Schizosaccharomyces pombe: one gene and its partners. The main gene of each other region encodes a partner of the protein of the gene in region 2 in a complex. Each region holds a gene or a part of one and is shown on either strand. Other genes may lie near its edges.

Region 1 (6,580 bases), on a different chromosome or scaffold from region 2:
TCTATACTTTCCACTAATACATTTTAACATGTCAAGTTCTCCAAGCTTCTGGTAACTCGTTTTCCACAGCCACAAAACGACGGTATTGTTTTTGTTACGCCATGCTCTTATTAGGTTTAACGCACATGGCCGACAACGCAACAACAATACCACATTACGTTGTAACTTGCTAACAAGTTTCCCGCGCGATTTTTGGGTAGAAAAAATCACTCGATGTCAACGCTGCCTTAGCAAAACAGGTTAATTTAACGGTTCGTTATGATTGGAAGAAGACCTCAAGGTCTACGCGCTGCTGCTTCTTTAAAGAAGCAGCAGCAGCTTGAAAAACAAAAGCAAGAAGCCTCTTATGAGCTGTCAGGAAACTCGTCTCCTAGTAAGGAAAACGGAAGCGAAAATGTCGACAATGGAGAAATGGAGGATGAGACAATGCTTGTTTACACAGAGGAAGACAATATTTCACAACTTTGGGGTTTATACGAGATGAGTCGCGAAAAGTTGGAAAATGACGATATAGATGCTAGTGTGAGCCTTGTCTTTGGTACCATTCACGAGGCTGATAGAATATTACGGAATACCGAGGACATTTCTACATTACCCAAGGACTTTCACGCGGCCTATTCCTCCGCTCTTTTGGCTGTGTCCGAGCTTTTCGAAATTGCACAAAAGCGTCTTAAGGAAACCAATACCGAAGAATCCTACATAGATGCTGCAATCGAGAGAGCTCAACTTGGCTTGGATGCTCCTGGCAACGAATCGAGACTTTTCCTTGCTCTTGCTCGTGCTTACCTTGAGAAGGTACGTGTTCTTGTTTGGCGTCACGATAACGAGGAATCTCTTGCCAACATCCCGGTCACTCAGTTGGTAAACCCATATATTGAGAAGGCCATCCAATACCTTCGTCCTCTTGCTCAGGATTCCACTGAATATTTTGATGCTCTTACCCCCGATTCTTTACGCCCATTATACATTCTCTCTTCCTACCTCTTTCAATTCGGTGATCAATTCTCTGAAGCTTTTCTCCTTGATGTCTGTTCAATTATAACTGCATTGTGGTTAAAATCTGTTGTCGATCCCAACACTCCTGCCTATTATAAGTTAATCGCTCAAGAGGCTGTTCTAAATAATTATACTACCTTCGCGGAATATTATATGGATTTGCTCGACAACAGTGAAAGTAATGTAGATGACCTAATCAACAAGGCTTCCAGCTGGCTCAACAATTCTGTCGATACCTGGAATGTTATTTATACTCTGGATAAATCTCCTGAACGCTTGTTAAAACTTGCGGATATAAAGATGGATCTGGCTCAAATTGTTCAAGACGAGGCTAGTCAGGATAATTACTTGAAGGAAGCTTGCAATGCTATCAAGGAGGCTCAAGGATCAGGTGTTGAGTTAAGTCCTGATTATGTTGAGTTTGTAGAAGCTTATTCTGCTTAGGATCGCTTTTACTTGCAACTTGACGGGTGTATTTCCATTATATCATTATCCCGTTGTTATATTTTTCTCCTTGAACAATACATCCTGCATTTTTTTTCTCTTTTCGAGAGTATTTTTCTCCATTATATTTACTTTTTAGGCAAACCTTATAAGTTTGTCGCTGGCCATTTTAGATTTCAAAGCAGTTCTTTATTGAAAGGAAATGTTGATTTTGTATGTACGACTTAGTAGAGCGTATAAAAAAATAAAAATTGTTTACTGATTCATGGGTTTCATTTTACCATATAAGTAAGGTCGGTTTTTGTGCTTTTATTAAAGTATAGTAGTTATTCTTTCCCGCTATTTATACTCAGAGATCCTAACAGTTTGGTGAATGGTTATAACTTTATCAGGGCTATATAAAAATATCTTTGAAAATTTACTATTTCGCTGTTGAAATTACTAAAAAAGTAGTATTTAATAAAATGAGATTTTAGTTTCTTTAAAGGTACAGTAATAGTGTTTGAAATAAAGTAACATGCTACTTAAAGCAACAGATTTTGCAACATGCTAACAGTTTGAAGACCTCTTAATATTACTTATGCACTGAGTATATTTTAATTTATTTGAATCTGGAAAGGTTCAACGTCCTTTCGCAAAATAGTATCCCAACGCTTTTTTTAGTCTCAAATTTCAGAGATTGCAGCTTCAAGAATAGATGAACACTTGGCAAAGGAAGTTTATTCTATATTTGAAATTTAAGACAACACACATTATTATTATTTAAAAAATTATTCTTGATGTTTTTGGAATTCAAAGTTCACGAAGTATAAGAAAAACCATCATAACAAAAATCGTTGTTGCACTCGCAATTACCAATATACTTGCAATAATAAAATGGATCCATTTGAGGGCCGCATGACATTTCTACAGCTTTTGGGAAAATTGAATGCATCGCAATTCTCTCAAATTAAACCCGCGCAATTTGCAATTAAGCATCTAGACTTGGAAGAAGACTTATATTCATGTATATGGGAGGAACTAGAGTCAGGTTCGTTCAATACAAGAGTGAATATCATGTACTTTGTGGACACACTCTGTGAGATGTGCTTAAAAAATGGCCTTACAGGTGGATATCTTAATATGATTAGTAGAGATATCTGTAAGCTAGTCCAGAACGTAGCTCCTATAGGAGCTGCTGGAGCTGCTAACGCTCCAGAGGTTAGAAAAGTACTCCAGTCTTTGCATGAAAAGAAGGTAATCGATGATAATCAATATAAAGATGCTATGGCTACGGTAGAAGCCCATGAACAAGCGAGCAAGTCAGGTGATACCAGTACTTCAGGAGCCATTTCAAAAAACGACATTCTTAAGAGGATTGAAGAAGACAGAGAGCGACACAAAAGAATGCGTGAAAACATTTGGGCTATTTCAGAACCAGAGTTAGAAGCGGAAATTGCATGGAACACTACCCAAGGAATTACTGAAAGCGATTTGGAATCCCTAAAGGATGAATACGAAAAGTTTAATGAATGTCTTCATGCAACTTCCTGAACCGAAGAGCGAAAACATAGAGTGTAACCCAAATAGAATAAAAACATATAATTAACTAATAATTTTGGAGTATTTTATACATTACCTAATATCTGGTTTTTTTAGAGATGATGAATTTTCCCTCCGTAGCTTAGTTTTTATGGGAATCCAAGAAAGTAAATCGTGTCACAATGTCAAAGCAATAACAAAAAGGTTGCCCAAAGAATTTGAATGGCGGAAAAGCATAGAAATGAAATTTTTTATAAACAACCCAGTTTATTCGAGGACTACTTTACAAGAAAGTTTCTCTAACTTCGATTTTATAGCTTCAGCATCCTCTTTCAAAATATTTTCTTTCAAAACCTTTGGAGCACTTTCAACGAATTTCTTTGCGTCCACAAGAGATAATCCCAAAAGAGACTTCACCTCTTTGATCACCTTGGCTTTCGAACCAGCATCAAACGATTCGAGTTTCAAATTCCAGGTGGTTTTTTCCTCTTTCTTTTCCTCAGGAGCTTTCTCTTCAGAAGGAGCGGCTGAAGCTACTGCTGGAGCCACTGCTGCCATCGGAGCTATTTCAGCAATGTTTAACTTCTCCTTTAATTGCTTTACAAGTTCAGACGTCTCTAACAATGATAGAGAGCTTATTTTGTCAACCATTTCCCCAATTTGGGCATTATTGTTTTGTACAGATGCGGCAGCTCGAAATGATCGCGTGTTTACCAACGATCTTGCCCAGTTCTTACTGGAAGATAAAGCACGTCTTTTAAAGTTAGTATAAATTTGTTAATTAAAAATAATTACAATCTTACAGATTTCTTGTTTGGCGTGATGCGATGCGAAACATGCTGTATTTTAAAATTATACTTGAGGTGAAGTAAGGTGCAAGTGAGATGGGGGTTGGCAAGTTAAGTATAGTAACTACAACTTTTAGGTGATCATTCATCAAATATCTAAAATATGTTCAATGGATCTTATTAATTTTTCATTAGTAATAATTAGAAAATAAACTAACCTCGTAGTAAAAAATGCTCTAGAATTATTAAGTGTTCAACAGTTAGTTGAAGAGAACAAATAAATCTAACCCTTTATTTTTATGCTTTTATCTCCCTGTTAATTATCAGGCATATAACAAATAAAACAAAAATGCATAATGTATTGAAATATTGCAATAAATCCACAAATTGATGGTGGTATTACATATTAGAAAAAAAATTAACAATGAGATAATTACTTTATGCTGCTCCGGCATGCTTTGTCAGTAGACTTCATCCCACGACCATAGTACCAACCGCCTTCAATCAAATTCCTTTCATCACGTTCCCATTTAGACATTTTGGTATTCATGTCTTTAGGATCTAAATCTAGTAATGTTATGTGATCTTTACCAATGTATAAAGTCACATCTCGAAGGGTCATCGCTAACGCAACATCAGTACGAGAGTATTGCTCTTGTAGGTCACGAAGCTTCCGTAGTATACCAGACTGAAACAATCTCATTGCGATATCAGGACTCACAAATCCTTGAAGACAGCACAAAAACTTGGGCCAATTGTTGAAATCAAGCTGTAGAGGACAAAAACCAACGGGTCTACCACGCATACGGCTAAGGGCACACGTTCGACAAACAACCCAGTCAGGTGGAGCGGCAGGGGACTGAGTCAACCATTTTGGTTTCATTTCAATTCCATCTTTGAGATCTTTCATTACCAAACAGTATTGCTCATTTAAATTTAAATAAATACCAGAAGCATTTTGGGCCGCCAGCAAAAAATCCCTAGTAACTGGCTGCAAAAAAACCTCAATTAAAAAGCTTTCCATTCCAGCAAACAAAGGATAAATTACATTTTGATAGTATTCATAAACTTGTTCTGTAGTAAAAACCTGTCCTCGACGTCGAAGACGAATTACCTTGTCTTGAAAGTAAGGATTTTTACCAACATACTCAAACACCACATTCGCACTTCCTGAGGCAAGGTATGCCCATTCAGAAATCACCAGGGATTTACCGGTGGAGGAATGATTGGAGATAACGGATGTTGGTGAATAAGGTGCAGGGGATTTAAAAAGCGGATTCGATATAATTGGAACTTGAAAATTACTACTAGCAACCGATTCATCTTGGGACTCTACACCAGAAGAAAGGGCTTTCATGGATGGAGGACGCGACATAATTGGAGTTGAAGGAGTATGTGTGTCAACGGGAGAATTTGTAACAGAAGAGCTAGCGGTACTAGCCATAGGCGAAAGGCTTACCTGAGACGCTGAAGTATGCAAATTCTGAGCGATGAGAGAATTCATGGCATCAATTTTTCCAGCTTCCCACTCTCTATTTGATAAAACATCACCAGATTTTGGAAGTTCTACGGGAGGACGGTTGTTGTTTACGGCAATTAAGGAAATGCTTTCAGCAGCCTGGCAAACTGAGGAAAACTCAACGAGCCACGTTTGGGGAATATCGTCTTGAAAACAATCCCAAGGGCGAACAATGTTGTGCATTTTTCGAAACATTTGAAGTTGCAAGCAGTAAAAATGCTTCATAAGTTGTCCAAAAAAAACACGACTTTTTGCAATAAGAGTTGGGAAGGACAAAGTTAAATGCTTCTGAAGGTCATCCAATTCACCATTGACACGGACAAGCTGGCTTTGTAATGCTTTAATTTTACTTTTTTTGGTTTCAGGATCAGGCAATTCGTAAACAACCAATAATTCTTTTTGAATTTTTTCAAGTTCTTTTACTTTTTTATCTCTTCTTTTAATCATTTCAACTGCCTTCTTTACATAGCCTTTGACCTCCTTGCAAGGAGCAATAACTATGACATGGAAATTTTGCAGGGCAAGCAAGACTTCACGACGTTGACGTTCCAAGGCCTTGTTCCAATCGACCAATGTTCCGACAGAAGCAGCAGGTTGTTTTTCAGGAGGTAACTGTCTGTACAAAGAAATCCAAGAGGCAGTGACGGAGGGAGCTATACAAACCATGCATCTCCAAGCATCATAGAAGAGTCGAGAGTTATCGATTGTAGAACGAATCGCTTTATCTAATTTGTGGATCTGATCACTCCACTGCTCAATTTGTTGATCAGAAGCAGCAATATCTAATTGTTTAGGTTCTTTTTTAGACGTAGTCTTTGTATAATCTTTTGTAAATTAAATTAGCACACTATACAAATTCAAAGGAAGTAAGAAGACATACTTTTTAGAGGCATTTCAAATTAATAGAATAAATAGGATGCAAAAAAGAAAAGAAGAAGGGTAGAAAATGAGAATAGACCAAAATTCTGAACGAAATAGTTGTAAGAGAAGGAAAATATAACCAACTGGCTGATGAGTAAGTAAGTAAATGTGAATTGAAACAAGAAGCTCTAGGATAATTTTCTAGTCTAATAAGGCGGGAATTTTTGATGCTCAGCAAGGATTTGGCGGTTTGACAGGGAAGGTAAATCTTGGGGATATTCCCAAAGGAAATCAGAGGTTCTCGTATTATGGTATTAAATGTAAAAATAAGTTAAAGAGCAGGTGCTTTGAGCATCCACAGAGAATTCCAACTCCAATTCGAAAAAAATAACCCCTTTCGAGGCGTTGATTAATGGTGAAAATAACAAATGACTGATGTTAGGTCAGCTTT
Region 2 (5,523 bases):
AATTAAAAGACTATCGTCCCTTTCATTTCTGCTAGTTCCATTCAAAGCACGCATTCAAATGTGAAAATGAAAGTAGCGTGAGTGATTTGTAGAATGTTGAACCCTTACCACAATGCTTTCAGTTGTTCAACAATTTAATGATGAGGATATCTATAGTGTACGATTTCGGATTGTAATATCACCTATTTACAAACAGTAATTGTAACTAAAGTATACATTTTGCTTAACAGCAGTGTGATATAATACTGCGTTAATACTTTTAAGCAAATTTGACGAAATTCGTAGCATGTTCTTCAGATTCGGTATTTTGCGACATGGAATTGGATTGTGCAATAAGTTTTTGAGACTTCAAACCCATCGTATACTTTTTTTTAACTCTCTTTTATTTGTACTTAAGTTGCTCATTCTTATCTCAATTTTTTTTAGTTGCAATTTTTTGTAAGGATTTAAATTATTTCATTCTTAAATTTTAAATTTTGAGAGATTATACGCAACTTATTAAAATGGGGAAGATTAAAAACAAAATTGTCCGCCAACAGCAGTATATGAAGGCTCTTCATCAAAAAAATAAGGACAAGCTTGAAAGAAGAAAAGAACGTGCTAAAGAAGAAGAAAAAGACCCGGAAAAGAAGAGATTGCGACTTTCAGAAAATATTCCCGCTACTATTGAATCGAAACGAGTTTATGATGAAACTATCATAGAGGATAAACCCGATGAGGAACTTCAGGCGGAGTTAAAAGATGATGAGTTTTCTGCATACTTTAGTGAAGAAAGGAAAGTTCCGAAACTTTTGGTAACCACGAGTAAACGAGCCTCTAGAAAATGCTATGATTTTGCATCTGAGCTTTTAGATTGTTTTCCTAATGCTGAATTTCGAAAAAGAACCGGAGATATTGAAGTTCATGAAATCGCAGAAGCCGCTGCTAAGCGTGGTTACACCGATTTACTGGTATTAAATGAGGATCGTAAAAAAACAAATGCATTAACCCTTGTACACTTACCGAATGGCCCTTCGTTCTATTTTACCTTATCGAATCTCCAAACAGCAAAGGAAATTTCAAATCATGGCCGCTCCACTGGTCATATTCCAGAACTGATAATCAACAATTTCTCAACGAGACTTGGTATGACTGTTGCTCGAGCCTTTCAATCATTATTTATTCAAACGCCTCAAATTCAAGGGCGACAAGTTGTTACCATCCATTGTCAAAGAGATTTTCTTTTTTTTCGAAGACACCGTTATGCATTTCGTGAAAAATCGAATATGCCAGATGGTATTGGAACTGGGCTACAAGAATTAGGTCCTCGATTTACCATGCGTCTTCGTATGGTTCAAAAAGGAGTATGGGATAGGAAAGAAGGGGAGGTTTTCTTCGAGAGCAATGCCGGTGAAGAATCAGATAGACGTAAATTCTGGCTTTAAAGACATTTTGTCTCATCTGCGACACGTTGTAAAAAGAAAACAGTGTTTGGGTCATATTTTATTGTTTTCGAGGTAGGGTTTGGGTTTGGTAACAATTCTAAATTTTTGGTTAAAAAAGAAAGCATGGCCTTTCATTTTGTATCATTCGTTTACGGTGAAATTGGGAATGAATAATATGATACATGTAGACTAGAAACTAGGAGACATAATTCTTTAATTCAATTATTGGTTTATTTAAAAATCCTAATTAGATTATACTTGCTCGTAATTAGTGATACATTTTTTTATATACTTGAACTTGTCTATAACACTTTCGAGCACTACCGAAGATATTAATTATACTCATAAAAGGCGCTCGCCTATTTAGAAAGCCGTGGTGGTGTGTCCGTAGGAGTCCTCGTTTCTACGGGGAACCTCCTGTTAATTGAATCGCTCATTGCGGCTTTATATAATGTTTCACTCGTATGCTTCAGTTCCTCGCAAGCAATTTTCATTGCAGAGAATTGGTTTTTTAGAAGATTCTCTCTTTGTTTTTCTTGTCGATATTCGTGTATACGCCAAGCGCGATTAATAACTTCGTGTTTTTCCCACATGTCTGGATTCATTTTCAAAGACCTGACTTTTTTATTTCCGTAAAGAGCTTTTCTAACCAAATCGATTGACTCACTATGATTAGAAGGACCAGATTGGTGCTTTCCCTTTGAGGCCTTAGCCATTAATTGTAACGTAGAACGCATCTGCCAAAAAACTTTTCAACACAAACTAAAGTACTCCTTGAATTTTTTCACGTTGATAGAAAAAAATTTAATTTTCAAAAGTATTAACATAAAACCTTCCTTTAAAAGCTAAAAAACCTGAGTAGAGAAAAATGCGGTAGTAGTAAACGTGTTCAGTGGTATGAAGCTAATTAAGAGAGTAAGTCGTGATACACTAGGAAAAGCCACCAGTACGATATTTCAAAAAAAGAAGTGTTTCATCAAATCCCCTTCAATTTCACACACTGATAAAAAAAATATAGATTATAATTCGGAGTTCATTTAATTGTTTCTGAATTTTCAGTAGCTAAGCCAAACAAAGCATATGCATTTATGGAGATATGTAACCAAACGAAGACATTTAACAAGTAGAAAATATTAAGTTTTAAGTCAAAGCTTTATATGGAGTAGGCCTGATGCTCAATTTTTCTGCTAAGTTTCATGTAAGTAGTCAAACACATTGATAAATCCATATCAGTGTTTAAAGTTTTAATGAATGGATAAGTTATTGTAATAAATACTATCATCAACTGAAAATGGCATGGCAAAACGAAGCTTAAACCTCAATACAATCTACTTCCAGTACGTTTTTCAGTAGAAGTCATGAATTAAGTTGATTTTTTCAGCTTAACACTGTACTGTAAATTTGTCGATTAGCATACCTACATTCTGCATCTGTTTTAGACTAGTCCATTAAAGTTCAATTCCTAGAGGAAAAAATATTTAATACGCTAGTTATACCCAAAAATGTTTGTCAAAATATAAAAGAATAAATTTTTGTATCCCATCGAATAATATGAATGCTGCGAGATATTCTATTCCAAGGCAATATACATACACTAACACCAAACCAGCGACGTTCGGGTACAAACTTCGGAATTCCTTGCTCAAGCATCTATTATAGTGATTTTTGAGATTTTATACAGCTCAAATATTAAATTTCCCCAAATAATGATCCGTTTTGCTCAATATGCTCGATATCCGGTAATTTCAAGGTTGATGAAGCCAACAGTTATTTCACCATTTCAGGCTCAAGCGTTTTCTAGCTCTTCAGTTATGTTAAAGACATTAAATCAAACGATAAGAAATAAAGAGAAACGTCCTGAAAAAACAAATAAGCAATCTGTTGCTTTAGAGGGAAGTCCGTTTCGACGGGGTGTGTGCACGAGGGTCTTTACAGTAAAACCCAAAAAACCTAATTCGGCAGTAAGAAAGGTTGCCCGTGTACGCCTTTCAACCGGCCGTTCTGTTACTGCTTACATTCCAGGTATCGGTCATAATGCACAGGAGCATGCTGTGGTATTGTTAAGAGGCGGCAGAGCACAGGATTGTCCAGGAGTCCAATATCATGTTGTTCGGGGTGTCTATGACATTGCTGGTGTAGCGGGACGTGTCACATCCCGAAGCAAGTATGGAGTAAAAAAACCGAAAGCAGCCTAAACTTCATGACCTCAAAGACTTTCTTTTTCGAAAACCATGATATTCAGAAACGTTATCTTTATAATTATTCCACCTCCTCTTTTGATATCGATTCACAAGGACCTTATTAAAATGACTGAAACAAAAATTTAAATGAGAAAAAAGTTGAGTCAACCCATTTGTCATTTCTCGCAACCTTGCTTCTTGTTGCAACTATACATATTCAATAATCATTTACTCTTGCATGTTTAATAAGCAATTTTTTAGTTGAACTACATCCCCTTTAAACATACAATCATCAAAAAAAGGTAAAAAAGATTGTGTAATTAGGCAATTTCCAGTTATCTAAAAAATTAGCAAATAGATAATCCTTTTGGTTAAAATTTAACCAAATCTATCTAAACAATGATTTATTAAAATGAGGAGGATTTTCTTTTGAGAAATCCTTTTGGAAAGTTTTCTACTTTTTTGATATAAGCTCTTTAAATAAATTTTAAACTTGAGACGCTTTCAATTTTTAATTTGTTCAATTTGGTTTTACTACCGTGCTATTTAATTTTTAACTCTTGAATAAAGTATAAAAAACACCTTTTGGGTGTTGGAAAACGCTTTCCGGTTCTTATTTATATAGTATGCAGTATTGCTAGCACAACTTCACCGTTCAACGTTGCAGAAAAATTTACTAAACGATGAGAAAAATATTTTTTAACAAATCTTGGTTAATTGGATTTCTTGAAAGAAAAAGAAGATTTTATCTTGAACCCGAATAATTCATAAATTTGAGATAATAGGGTATGATGAATCTTATTTTTTACAAACTCAGATTAAAAAAAATCAAATTTCTTTTTGTTAGAATCAATTTACACACACATCTTTGAGATGTCCTGTAATGTTTGTAAATTCCGTACTCTTTTTTGGAATGTTAACAAAATCGTAACAAATTTAATAACAATACACAACCACAATTTTGTTTTAAAGAGACATATAACATCAATCACAACATGCTTTTTAATTCATCTGATATTCAATCTTCATACTATTAACTAATTCCAGGAAATAAATTCACTTTCAAAAAAAACATCTTAACTAAAAGCTGTTAAAAAGCAATTTCATATTTACATGCTCATTTCTACGTACAATTCAAAAAAAGCTAACAGACATCTAACATGATTTAGGCCAAGCCTTTCTTTTCCTTAACAGCTTGGAGGGCGCAAAGAGCGGCACCAATACCACTGCCATCCTTGGCAATACCAATGGAAATCAATTTTTCGTTATCACCGATAAGCTCACGCAAGGCTTCACGGAGCATGTCAACAAAGTGAGGATAGTGTTCGACTAAAGAACCATCAACACCAACATCACTCTTCTTACCAGCGCGGCCGGTAGAAAGATACAAAGAAGCAATGGGAACGGCAGACATACGAGCAGCACGACGGCCAATTGCATGAGCAGCATCCCAAAGGTACAAAGCCTCTTCGTCGCTGCGGAAACGGAACTTGAATGTACTAAGAACGTTACGAACATTCTCAGCAGAACGTTCAACCATCATTCTGGAAAGAACAGAAGTTTCCAAAGACCAAGCATCAGTAATGGAAGGAGGGAAAATACCTTCGTTGAAGTTGTAAACCTTGATCAAGTGGAATAAGGCACGGCGGAAAAGCTCACCGAGATACATACCACCAACGCGCTTCTCAAAGATTTGACGACCAGCATTGGGAGTATCATGATCAAGAAGTAAATCATAACGAGTGGAGTGAAGGCAAGAGAAATCAGTTGCTCCCCATTCCATGTTGATAAGCATATGATCACCAGTACACTTGCCAGCAAGCTTGGGAATTTGGTTCATTTGCTCGACGTAAGCACCGTTGGTACCGGTTCCGAAAATGATACCCATAAAGGTGTCGCTCTCCTTTGAAGTATAAGCA
Region 3 (5,210 bases), on a different chromosome or scaffold from region 2:
GCCAGCTTGTTCAAGGAGGAGCCATCTTTTGCTGCTGGCGTCGTTGAAATGCCAGCAGGAGCAGAAAAACCAGTGAAGCCTTCGAAACACAACATAATGTCTTTTTGTATACTACAGGGAAAGATCGAGGTCACAGTAAATGCAACCACTTTTCGAATGAAAAAAGATGGAGTATTTATTGTTCCAAGGGGTAAGTTTAAATATACACATTTCTAAAAATTCAAACAGGAATTATACACCGAGAATGTGTTTTGACTAACATTGCTTTAGGGAATTATTACAGCATAAAAAATATCGGCAAAGAAGCTGTTCGACTTTATTATACCCATGCGACCGACACCTTGGAAAATAAAAGAAGGGGAATAGGGGATTTTCCAAACGAACGATGACAATACTAATAGTGTGTTATGGATTTCGATGTACAAAAGTCATTTAGTCGTTATGTAATTTAATTATCTGTTATCAATTTAATCATATTAATAAAGTCATTTTTTCTAAACTTATTTTTGCATCATTTCCTTAAATTTAAGCGTTTTACTGTAATCGTCAATTAATTCAGTTAGCCTACCAATATTCATTTTTGTCGGATCAACAGTCAACTTTTTTCCATCCTCTAAATAATAATTATTAGCAAAAGTCAAATCTAACGGTCGCAGTTAAACCATCTAGCTACTTAAAAGCCTTACTGTATACAACTTCAACAGATGGTTTTGAATTGGTATCCTTTGATGCAAGACTGGTAATGAGATTAAGTCCATAAAGAGAGTTGCTGGTTTCTTTACTGGCAACTGCTAGCAAAAGTTTCGCAGATTGACTAGCTTTGGAAAACGGGTTCACATTCAAAATTGACAATTTATTAATGTACCCAAATATCATGATTAAAAATTTTAACTGGAGAGTAAAGTCGTCAAGGAATGTAATTAAAAGAGATCTTTATGTGTAGATATTTTAAATACATTAAATGGTGGTAAGTTTTGTAAACGAAATGACATTTGGTAAGCTAGGTGACCGTTACCCTGATAGTCTCACTTCCTACAACAACTAAGTCAACTTGGAGATACAAACGAAACTAGTATGTCTCTATAATACAATTTGTCATTCCAATTTTATATAGAACCTCGGTTTCCGCTTGTGAAATATTTTTTCATGAACAATTGCAATTTTGATTTTATCCAACATGACTACCGATGTGAAGGCTAAAAACCCTGCGTCGATTTTCAGCCATGAAACCCTCCTTCACGTTCTTAATGATTTGTCTGCACATGACTTAGCTGCTTTAGAACGTGTATCTCGTAGTTGGAATTCAATTGTGCGCCGTTCATCGGTATGTTCTTCTTGACTTTTTAGTGATATAGTCGAATTTTCATGTTTTGAGAGACTGATTTCCATGTACTAACGACCTTCATACAGGTATGGCATAATTTATATCTCTCAGAATTTGGGACTAAGCATTTACGACGACATGGTCGCATTGAAAAAAAACGAAGGAATTGGAAAGGATTGTTTCGAAGGCAATCTAACTGGAAGGACGGACGTTGTAAAAAAGTAGAGTCTATGCTCCCTCAATTGCTTAATTCTGAAAAAAGCGTTGGAGAAGATCGTTTGGGGCTAACGCTTACACACCAAAATAATATTTATTTTTGTAATGACGTTCAAATATCAAAATGGAGCTCAGTTGGTAACAGTTTGAAATGCCAGGCTATTTCTTCTTTTAGAGATGAAACTGTCAAATCTGGTCCGGCTGTAATGTGTCTGGATAACGCCAGCCTTTATATTGGTTTAAAGGATGGTAACCTGCTACATGTAACGGTGCATGAGACAGGTTTCGGAAATATTGAAAACCTTGCAACATTCTCTACCAAATTTGTGGCATTATCATCGCATAAAAATTACATTTGTGGATTGACAAACGACAACAATTTATATATACTTCAGCATTCTCATCAAGCTGGAACCAAATTGAAAGTACTTGGTAAATATCATGTTTCAAGTATTGAAAAACAGGTTGCTATTCACTTTCAGCAATCAAAAGAAGGATATGAAGTTGTTCATGTAGTTTTTAATGATTATGTTCTATCTGGTGGATGGACCGTTAGTTTGCAAGAATTTGTTTTCAACGAATATTGCGTCAAAAGTAGTAGGCTTGCATTGCATGACAACAAAGACATTGAGTACTCTCAGCAACCTGCTTCTGCTATTTTTATGTATGGGTCCTATATTTTGACATCTCATCCGGACAATTCTTTAATTTTGCAGAGGCTTTATTCAACTAACAACGAATTACGGATAAAATTTTTAGGTCGTCTCTTAGGACACGTTTGTGGTGTTCAGATATCTAAACTATTTTCTTGTGGAAGAATTGTTTCTGTATCCAAAAACTGTGCCGATATTTGTGTTTGGGATCTTCATGATACAAATTATCAATCAATCGTATCTCCGCTAATGCTAACTTGCACAAACATCCACAATAAGCCCGTATCTGATTACGAAAAAGAATGTAAGGTTCAAGATATAGGACTGTATGAAGATACTATTTTGATAACCCTTTCCGACGGCAGAATATTAAAGTTTCTCTTTAATATTTAGAGAAAGGTTTCACTTTATCGTACATGATTGAATTCTAAATGATGAGTTTAACCATAGTTTTATAATTTTATTTATATTATTATTATTACTTAGATTGGATTATTAAGTGCCTTTTCAAGGTTAATGAGCCTCAATATACTGTATTACGAGTATCTGCTATACCTTTCAGTTTGCATCCTCTAAAATAATGAAACACAATGTGCATATTCGGTAACTGATTCAACGAATGTAAGGGATAATTTTAATAATCATATTTACTTCAGTCAAAGCATTTGGTAATGTTAATAAATTTTCTAAATACTTTTTTTATTCTTTATTCGTTGTCATTGTTCCTCATAGCAGAGTACTGAATTATCACCCAACCCTACCCTAAACGTGACTGCCCCAAAAACAAAAGAATTGACCACGCCTGTTTAAGAAAGATTGTCCGTCCACCAAAAACAGCAAGAAAAATGGCCAATCTTAGAACGCAGAAGCGACTTGCTGCATCCGTCCTTAAATGCGGCAAACGCAAAGTTTGGATGGATCCTAATGAAATCAGCGAAATCAGCAATGCCAACAGCCGTCAAAACGTCCGTAAGTTGATTAAGGACGGTTTGGTTATTCGCAAGCCTAACTTGATGCATTCTCGCTTCCGCATTCGTAAGACCCATGCCGCCAAGCGTCTTGGTCGTCACACCGGTTACGGTAAGCGTAAGGGTACTGCCGAAGCTCGTATGCCCTCTGCTGTTGTTTGGATGCGCCGTCAACGTGTTTTGCGTCGTCTTCTTCGCAAGTATCGTGAGTCTGGCAAGATTGATAAGCATCTTTATCACACTCTTTATTTGGAAGCTAAGGGTAACACCTTTAAACACAAGCGTGCTTTAATTGAGCATATTCAACGTGCCAAGGCTGAGGCCAACCGTACTAAGTTGATCCAAGAGCAACAAGATGCTCGTCGTGCTCGTGCCAAGGCTGCTCGTCAACGCAGAGCCAAGGCTGTTGAAGAAAAGCGTGAGCAACTTTACACTGCTGCCGAAAAGATTGAGGAGTAAATGAATATATTTTCCCCTTTTGAACTGGAATAGCATGATGATGATTATTTTTGTTTTTTTTTCAAGCGGTAATTTGTGCCTGATTGTAGTGGATTTGCAATTGTAGCTTTTTTTGTAAGCAATTATGTTTAACGTAACATAGCAATTATTCGTATTTCTCTTATCATATTCTTTGTAAGTTGCATTATAAGTAAATGTGTATTTAATTCATATTATTTTGTTTATACATATAAAGTTTGAGTTAATTTAAGTGTACGGAATGCGTTTGATTAGCCGTACTTGTTTTGTAAACACACGAATGTTTTGAGTGCATTTCCGTAATACATGTATTCTTTGTAAATAAAAAGCCATCCACTTTTTATTCAGTAAAACAATTTGTTTAAAAATTGTCAAAGTACAATTATTGAATAAATATCAAACCCTTACATTTCTTTTGCCAAACCAAACAAATAGCGACAAGAGTTTTTTTAACATCACTGCTACTAAATTGAATTCCGAGTAATTATTTTGATGCGAAAAAATTGCGATATTAGCACCGTAGTGGTGCAAATTGACGAATTTGGAATTTACATCGGAAATGCTAGCGATAAAGAGCCAACTTGGAAAGTAGATCTTGTTCCTTATAAACAAAGCTGGGTCCCTATATCCATTGTGACAACTATAATTCAAAGATACTGCTTGAACACATTTAACTGTCTAGCTGAAATAGTACGCGTTGTATTAGTATTGGACATTTTTGTTACAAGGAAACAGAAAAAAGAGCTTTGTGATGGATTATTCAACACTTTAAACGTTCCAATCACGTTGTGGATATGTGCACCATTAACAGCGATCCTAAGCACATCAACAAGAGATGCAATAATTGTGGATATCGGGATGAAAGAAACAAAGTTCATCGTAATTTTAGACCTTTGTATCTTAATGCATTATACAAAAACTTCAAAAAGAAGCTTAAGTACGGTTTTGGAACGTATGGCTGACTGTTTTAAACTGAACAACAAGAAAAATTCTCAAAAGCTATTGGAAGATGAGGAGTTTGCCGTAACGGAAGCATTAATGAAGTCTCTTTTAAAATCAAGAGTACCAAGCAAACCGACTGAAGAGCTCTATCAATTAACAGATCAAGAAGCTTACTTTCGGTATTCGGATATCTTACCCTTAGCTGAAACAACTTGTCAAACAAATAAAACTGAACGGGGCTCAAGCTTTAATGACGCTGAAAAAATTAGAGTTCCATCTTGGATCGCCAATGCAGGCATTGAGGCTCTCTTTGAGGGTTCTGATGCTGGAGGGTCGGACATAGCAGACCAAGCCCTTCCTAACGTTTTACTATCTCTGTACCGTATTCTTCCAATTGACATTAGAAGGATTATGTCGAAGTTAATTGTTTTTAATGGGATTCTTCCTTCGCTTCCAGGTTGGTACCAGAGATTTCAAAATGAAATGACATCTCGTGGACTCGCTATAAAAGCTGTACCAGGACAGACAACTGCAGACATGATGGCATGGAATGGAGCAAGCACTACCTGCGAATCACAGTTAGATTATGACCCGGATGATCCTAAACATCTTCGTCATTCTATTGTTGAG
Region 4 (5,944 bases), on a different chromosome or scaffold from region 2:
ATGAAATGTAAATAAAATCTGCAAACATGATAAAATGAAACTTCAAGTTATTTTATAATTTAAATCCACTTTGATTTGACTTCCGTCTGATATGTCAAACGAGGCAGAATGAACATTTGCTTTACGAGTTAGGATGAAATCCTTGTTCACGCTCTTTCGCTTCAATGTTTTCAATTCATGCAATATTGTATAATACTCTCCATTTCTTTAATTTAAAAACTGAGAAAATTTTATTGTCCAGTTAGAAGGTCTATTTACAAATGAGTGATGTGTAAACATAGAAAATGAAAGTGTAATCGATTTGGAAAGAGGTCTCTCTCTAAATGTAGCACAGATAATGGATGAACAACACCCACCTAATCGGGTAAGGATTTTAGTTAATAAGAAAAAATTGTATTATTAAAAAAGGATGTTTTGCTTTTCCATGTACGGTATGCTCACCACTAATGTGTTGATGAGTACTGTTTATAGCTGGTCGATTCGCTCAAAATATGTAAAGCATGGCACATCTTTATTTTCCTCATATATTTACGTTGGAATTCATAATTTAAGATTTTTTAGGTTCTCCAAACCGTAATGATACCTATTGAGTTGAAATAAATATCGGCAATGAGTACGTGCAGACTTAAAACTCAGAGCTTCCGTGGAGAACAGGATAATTAATTCTTTAAATCTGAAACAAGAAAATGGTGATGTTGAACAGCGGCACATATTAATTTCTATAAAAATAAACATAATGATTTTTGAATTACAAAGTATTGAATGGTAGTTACAACTGATACCTAAAAAGATATAGTAAACCTACCAAAATCTATTGAGCTCGACCAACAAATAGGAAATAGTATAAAATACAGTTCAACAGAACTAACTCGCTCCAAACCTGTTGTGGAGTTCTACAGTCTCGTTGTAAATTGCCAATAAGGTATGATTTAATGAATTATACAATTGTTTAAATGTACAGTTTGATATCTGCTTCAATTATAAGTAGGATTGCGGTGAGCTCTAATGATGATCTGTTGTATTACTAGATGTATGAATACATAGTAACCTGAGTTATTGATGTCGGTATTGTTTGTAACCTAACGCTGATATAGCTCATGGCTGAACCTCGCTCCTCAATTCAATTTTCAAGTTATAGTATTCAAAATCAGTATTATTGTTACTGGTAAATATCTTATTATAATTGGTAATTTAATATCTTGGATAAACTATTCATGCAAAACTAGTAGAGTAAATAAAACATGTAACATAATAGTAACTCGCGATGCAAAAACATTATAGCGGTCTTTAGTGTAGCCCACTGTCTAATAACTAGTGTTGCATACTTTTCAAAGTATGATAAAACGAAGCAAGGCATCGCTATTATAGCGTATTGGTACGCAGTGCCTAATTAATGCTAACTTGTGCGTAAATTGATATTGACAGCACAATGATTCAATTTCATTCCTTAACAAGAGCCATCTCTTTTTGTTGGATGCTTAGAACGCGTGGATTTTTAGGCTATTCAAGTGTTTGGTTTTGATCTATTTATCTATTTTATATTTTAATTTCGCATTTTATTTTGCAATGTTCAAGTTGGAACTCAAACGTATATAATCACTATTGGTAAAAGGCTCTTCAAAATGCCAGACGAAAAGTTACCTCAATACAATGAAGTTTGGAATGATTTGGAGAAGGGTTGTTTACATTCTTGTCCTTCATATTCAGTCAATAATCATGTAAACAATCCAATTGTCAAACAAAACTCAACATTAACACAACCATCGTTACGAAAAAAAAATACAATGGCTGCACCTGCTAGATTAAGAAAGCGTTCGGAAAATGTGCGACTTACACAAGCTAGATATGCGATATTTCATATCTTCCTTCCTTTCATTCTTACTTTATTGCTTTATCATAATTTTTATAATTATTTCGATCAGGCATTGGCGGATCTTAATTCTGTGGTTAAATATGTTATTGAAACTATAGTGTTAATATTTACATACGTGATGACAGTGATTATTGTTTATTGTAAGTTTTTGAGATGATTTGAATTCATGGCTAACGATTTTCTAGTTTCATTTTCGTTAATTAAATTAGCGTTTGAAGAAGCTTATGTTTATGCACCATCTGTAGCTAAAGCGAATGAAGGTCTAGCTAAACATGTAGCTAAAACGATTGCAGGCCTAGTTAAATATGTAGCTAAAGCAATTCAAGGTTTGGCTCATATTATTTTATCCTTACTGTTGTTTATTCTCGGGCTCGAAGTAATAGAACAAGATGAAGAGACTGGCGACGTTGAAATGTCGTCTATGCGAGGCCAAGCAATTACCACAGAGCCAGCAAGTGACAACACAATGGCTGAGGGAACCGATTGCAACACTTCTAAAGATGTAGAATCGGGCAGCAGCTAAAAGTCATGGCTAGAAAAAAAAATCAAGGGGCTGCCAACCAGCTGCGAGTGTCTTTTTTATTTCATTACTAATTTTCTTACTTTCCTGCAGAAGCTCCTTTTTTCCCCTTTATTTCTATTTCTTGTATTATTACCTTATACGCATTGTCACTTAATCATTTCCGATGACAGTCATCACTCTTTTTCCATACATACATTTTTGTCTCTGTTATAGAGTAAACACGATGTGTTTCTGTGGTGCTAGGAAAAGTCATTTAACTAATGAATCTGGTTGTCAATTATAAATTAATCATCCTCTTTATTGTTTTACCAAATTGATATACAATCCTTAATTATGACTTTGTAAGATTTGCGAATTAAAAAATTGAACAAGTAAGGCATTACTCAAAAGACGCAAAGTAGTGATTTAACCTTAGTTTCTGTTTAATGCATAAAATGAGGATTCCATATATCATTTTCAAGTGTTCGGAGCTTTAAAATACAGTATATACAGGAAATATAAGTTCAAACTTGTTTCTAAAACAAATAAAAATGAAAAATCAATTTGGTGTAGAGCGAAAACCTATTTTAAATAATGCGATTTCCCAATTCCTGGTCAGTAGCAATTTCTTTACAAAAAGAATTAAAAAATTATTCAATTTGTATTATATGAAATCTTTCGTATTCAAAATCTACCAACATTCAGCCCAAGCGAAAAGTAATATTTTTTGCTATGTCCATAGGTAACAATATAATTTATTTCAGAGAACACCCATTGAAATTGCTGCTTATATTAACTGTGTAACATAATATATTAGGTCACAGAGAGATTCATTGCACTTTAAGTATCGTTAAGCAGATACCGAAATACGTGAGCGACACTTTAAATAGATATTAAACTGCGTAGCTGACCAGTATTCAAATTTTCCGTCACTCACCGTATCATTAAAACATTTACTGTTTTTGGCTGCTCAACGCGCAATGCTGCCTAACATCTGTGCTAGCAAACGATATGTGTTTATTGGGCACAACGTTTATACGCGGACGCGCTATTAACAAACTTCGCATCTCTTACAAGCATATATGTAAACAGCCAATCTGTACTCGTAAAAGGAAAGAATGCTTGAAAAGAACAAGTATCTCTATATATTTAGGCATATTCAAACGAATCAGGTACTTTTATCTCAAGGAAATGTTTTAAAAAAGACTGCGTTGTTTCAACTTCCCTACCCACTTCAAAAGCCAGTCGCTCCAAATGGTATGCGACCCGCTAAGCTCCGTAAAGACCATTGGGTTCCTTTACTAAAAGTCGAATTTCCTAATGAATCAATGTTTCAATCTGTTTTTATGCAACTGTTAAACTATCGAAAATATCGTTCTGTTCAACCACTGACTAGTGACCTTTTGAAATTGCCTATACCCGTTCGTAGAAGAAAAATAATGCGACAAGAGGTTCCTAACACGATTGCGGACTTGGCAGATATTTTAAATAAAGAAAAATTTCCCGAAAATTCCGTTCGTTTGCAACTGAGTGATAAATCCGATAGTGAATATGCAGATTGGCCCCCTAGTGTGCAGATTGATTCAGAGGAAATTAAACTCTCGCGAGGTTTCCGTGAAAAAACAACCGTAGACGAAGCTAGATGAAGCATAATATCATTACTTCTCTCACTTTCTTCCTTCAAAAACACCCCTCATCCATTTTTAGGCTTTCTTAAAGGGCATTATATGAAGTATAAGCTAACACATATTCATATTAGCTCAATCTTTTTTACTTAATGATAAAGTCCTTTTTACTAAAGACGGTTACGAATTCTTCCCAGTGTATCCAGTGTATTGCACTGGACAGCTTCCTTAGCTTATCATTGTACTTCAATGCGAGAGTATTGGCTAGATACTCAAGACAAGATAAATTTAATACAAATCGACACCAAATACTCGTATCTTTATTATTTTACCATTTTGAAGTTTTCGAGCTCCTATGAAATATATGCAAGATTAACTCATCACTTTATTGCCTCGTTTTTTTTTTGTTTAAAGTTTGGTCCAGAATAAAAAAAAAATATTAGCATCTAAAATAGAAATCATGGACCAAATATTTAAATAGTTATAACAATGCCAAAAGAAAAGACTTTATAAACCAAAGACATAAATACCATAAATCGTTAAAGAGCGGTAGTTATAGTTAAACTCTTAGAGTGGATTAATGCACAAGGAGGTAATCCTTCCATAAATATTAATAAGTCATCAACATATTCCTCGCTTTTTCGAAAGCTCTTATGAGTGTCGGCCAAAGGTGCTGGTAAAACAGTAAACAATACAGAAGTATTTTTAGTATGTTTCAGCACGATTTCATTCATAATTATGTATTGAGATCTCGAGGATAAATCGTTAAACGTCAACTTCTCTTTAGAATAGTCCCTTCCTATTTTTTTCTTTGGTGCTAGTCTATCAGATGAACTATCTTCTCGGACCACGTTGGGCATCAGAGATGACTCAATAGTACTGTCAGAATAAGTTCTTCTATTTTCTTGTTTTGGTGATAAAGAACGGTTTCCGAAAGAAGATTCAGTCTCAAACGACTTTACTGAATGCATATGTGGCCCAAGGCGGAAACTCAATGGCACACTTAAAGGTGGAGCACTCTTATCAAAGCTGGCAGATCTAAAGTTATAACCAGACATACGACGTGGAAAACGAATAGGTCCTAAGGAATCTACAGTATTTCCTCTTCTTTTCTTTTCTTCCTGCCACCACGAGTCATCTTTCAGTAAGTTTTCAAGCTCGGAAGACTTGCTAGGTCTCACATGCTCATTTTTGACAATGTACCTATATGCATCCAAATTCATTGCAGCAAGACAGAGCACTACAACGTCGGCTTTGATACGGAACGTTTCTAGCATTTGATGCATGCTTTCTCGTTCTGCCTCTATTTCATTCTCGAATTCAACAAGAGTGATAAGCCGTAGCCTACAACCTTGTTTCCAATCTGAAGCTGTATGAAGGATCCAACTAAGTTGAAAAACCATAGTATACGTCTCGAAATTCGTCGCAAACGTTGGTGTACTTTCATTGACTTCTGACCCCACACCTGATATTCTATGAATGGGAAACATATCTATATATTGCTTTTCTCCCTTTCTTTTTGGCCAATTAAGTCTATCGAACCCATTAGTTACCATAACGTCCACCGAACCAACAAGCATGTCTTCCAATATCTGTACCCACTTCACAGGTAGTATATCATGCTCCACAAATTCTTTTTTACTGTCAGATTCTGATTCTTCACTAGTATTCTCAAGAGAGAAAGAAGAACCCGAGTATATACGATGTCTACGATAATTCGTATTAATAAATGTTAGCACAGCTATGTTTGGACGAATTCCCCCCAAGCCTGCAGAAGATATAAGACCACGGATACCCCAAACTTCGTCTGGAGCAATAGTTAGTTCAACAAATGCTTTGATACCTCGATCAAGGACAAACTGATGCCAAAGACGTTGCTGCTTTCTTAAATCATCCATGCTAGCCTGAAAATCATCGGATACAATAACGTGCCCTAAGATATAG

Evidence for each region.
Region 1: mrpl28 (region 2) and mrpl12 share a complex: the UniProt entries of both Schizosaccharomyces pombe proteins name them as parts of the mitochondrial large ribosomal subunit.
Region 3: mrpl28 (region 2) and mrpl44 share a complex: the UniProt entries of both Schizosaccharomyces pombe proteins name them as parts of the mitochondrial large ribosomal subunit.
Region 4: mrpl28 (region 2) and mhr1 share a complex: the UniProt entries of both Schizosaccharomyces pombe proteins name them as parts of the mitochondrial large ribosomal subunit.

The regions. Positions count from the first base shown.
Region 1 is NC_003421.2:1,157,729-1,164,308, reverse strand, and holds mrpl12 (mitochondrial 54S ribosomal protein bL12m), read right to left. Parts: upstream 3,854-6,580; 5' UTR 3,800-3,853; coding exon 3,765-3,799; intron 3,716-3,764; coding exon 3,229-3,715; 3' UTR 2,974-3,228; coding exon of another isoform or gene 2,317-2,973; 3' UTR 1,993-2,316; downstream 1-1,992. Other genes in the region: protein Nro1, read left to right, coding at 259-1,440; Lsk1 complex gamma subunit lsg1, read left to right, coding at 2,317-2,973; ipk1 (inositol 1,3,4,5,6-pentakisphosphate (IP5) kinase), read right to left, coding at 4,183-6,092, 6,149-6,161. UniProt on the Schizosaccharomyces pombe protein: Component of the mitochondrial ribosome (mitoribosome), a dedicated translation machinery responsible for the synthesis of mitochondrial genome-encoded proteins, including at least some of the essential transmembrane subunits of the mitochondrial respiratory chain.
Region 2 is NC_003424.3:2,666,430-2,671,952, reverse strand, and holds mrpl28 (mitochondrial 54S ribosomal protein mL40), read right to left. Parts: upstream 2,303-5,523; 5' UTR 2,141-2,302; coding exon 1,784-2,140; 3' UTR 1,585-1,783; downstream 1-1,584. Other genes in the region: Brix domain-containing protein Rpf1, read left to right, coding at 504-1,424; mrps12 (mitochondrial 37S ribosomal protein uS12m), read left to right, coding at 3,131-3,619; hxk2 (hexokinase 2), read right to left, coding at 4,770-5,523. UniProt on the Schizosaccharomyces pombe protein: Involved in mitochondrial genome encoded proteins translation.
Region 3 is NC_003423.3:4,121,549-4,126,758, reverse strand, and holds mrpl44 (mitochondrial 54S ribosomal protein mL53), read right to left. Parts: upstream 877-5,210; coding exon 687-876; intron 614-686; coding exon 501-613; downstream 1-500. Other genes in the region: cnp3 (centromere protein), read left to right, coding at 1-190, 271-389; F-box protein Pof12, read left to right, coding at 1,178-1,324, 1,411-2,586; rpl1901 (60S ribosomal protein L19), read left to right, coding at 3,039-3,620; actin-like protein Arp10, read left to right, coding at 4,131-5,210. UniProt on the Schizosaccharomyces pombe protein: Component of the mitochondrial ribosome (mitoribosome), a dedicated translation machinery responsible for the synthesis of mitochondrial genome-encoded proteins, including at least some of the essential transmembrane subunits of the mitochondrial respiratory chain.
Region 4 is NC_003423.3:1,798,808-1,804,751, reverse strand, and holds mhr1 (mitochondrial 54S ribosomal protein mL67 ), read left to right. Parts: upstream 1-3,461; 5' UTR 3,462-3,493; coding exon 3,494-4,021; 3' UTR 4,022-4,539; downstream 4,540-5,944. Other genes in the region: SPOM_SPBC18H10.18C (uncharacterized protein), read left to right, coding at 1,623-2,013, 2,059-2,396; vacuolar membrane cation-chloride cotransporter Vhc1, read right to left, coding at 4,540-5,944. UniProt on the Schizosaccharomyces pombe protein: Component of the mitochondrial ribosome (mitoribosome), a dedicated translation machinery responsible for the synthesis of mitochondrial genome-encoded proteins, including at least some of the essential transmembrane subunits of the mitochondrial respiratory chain.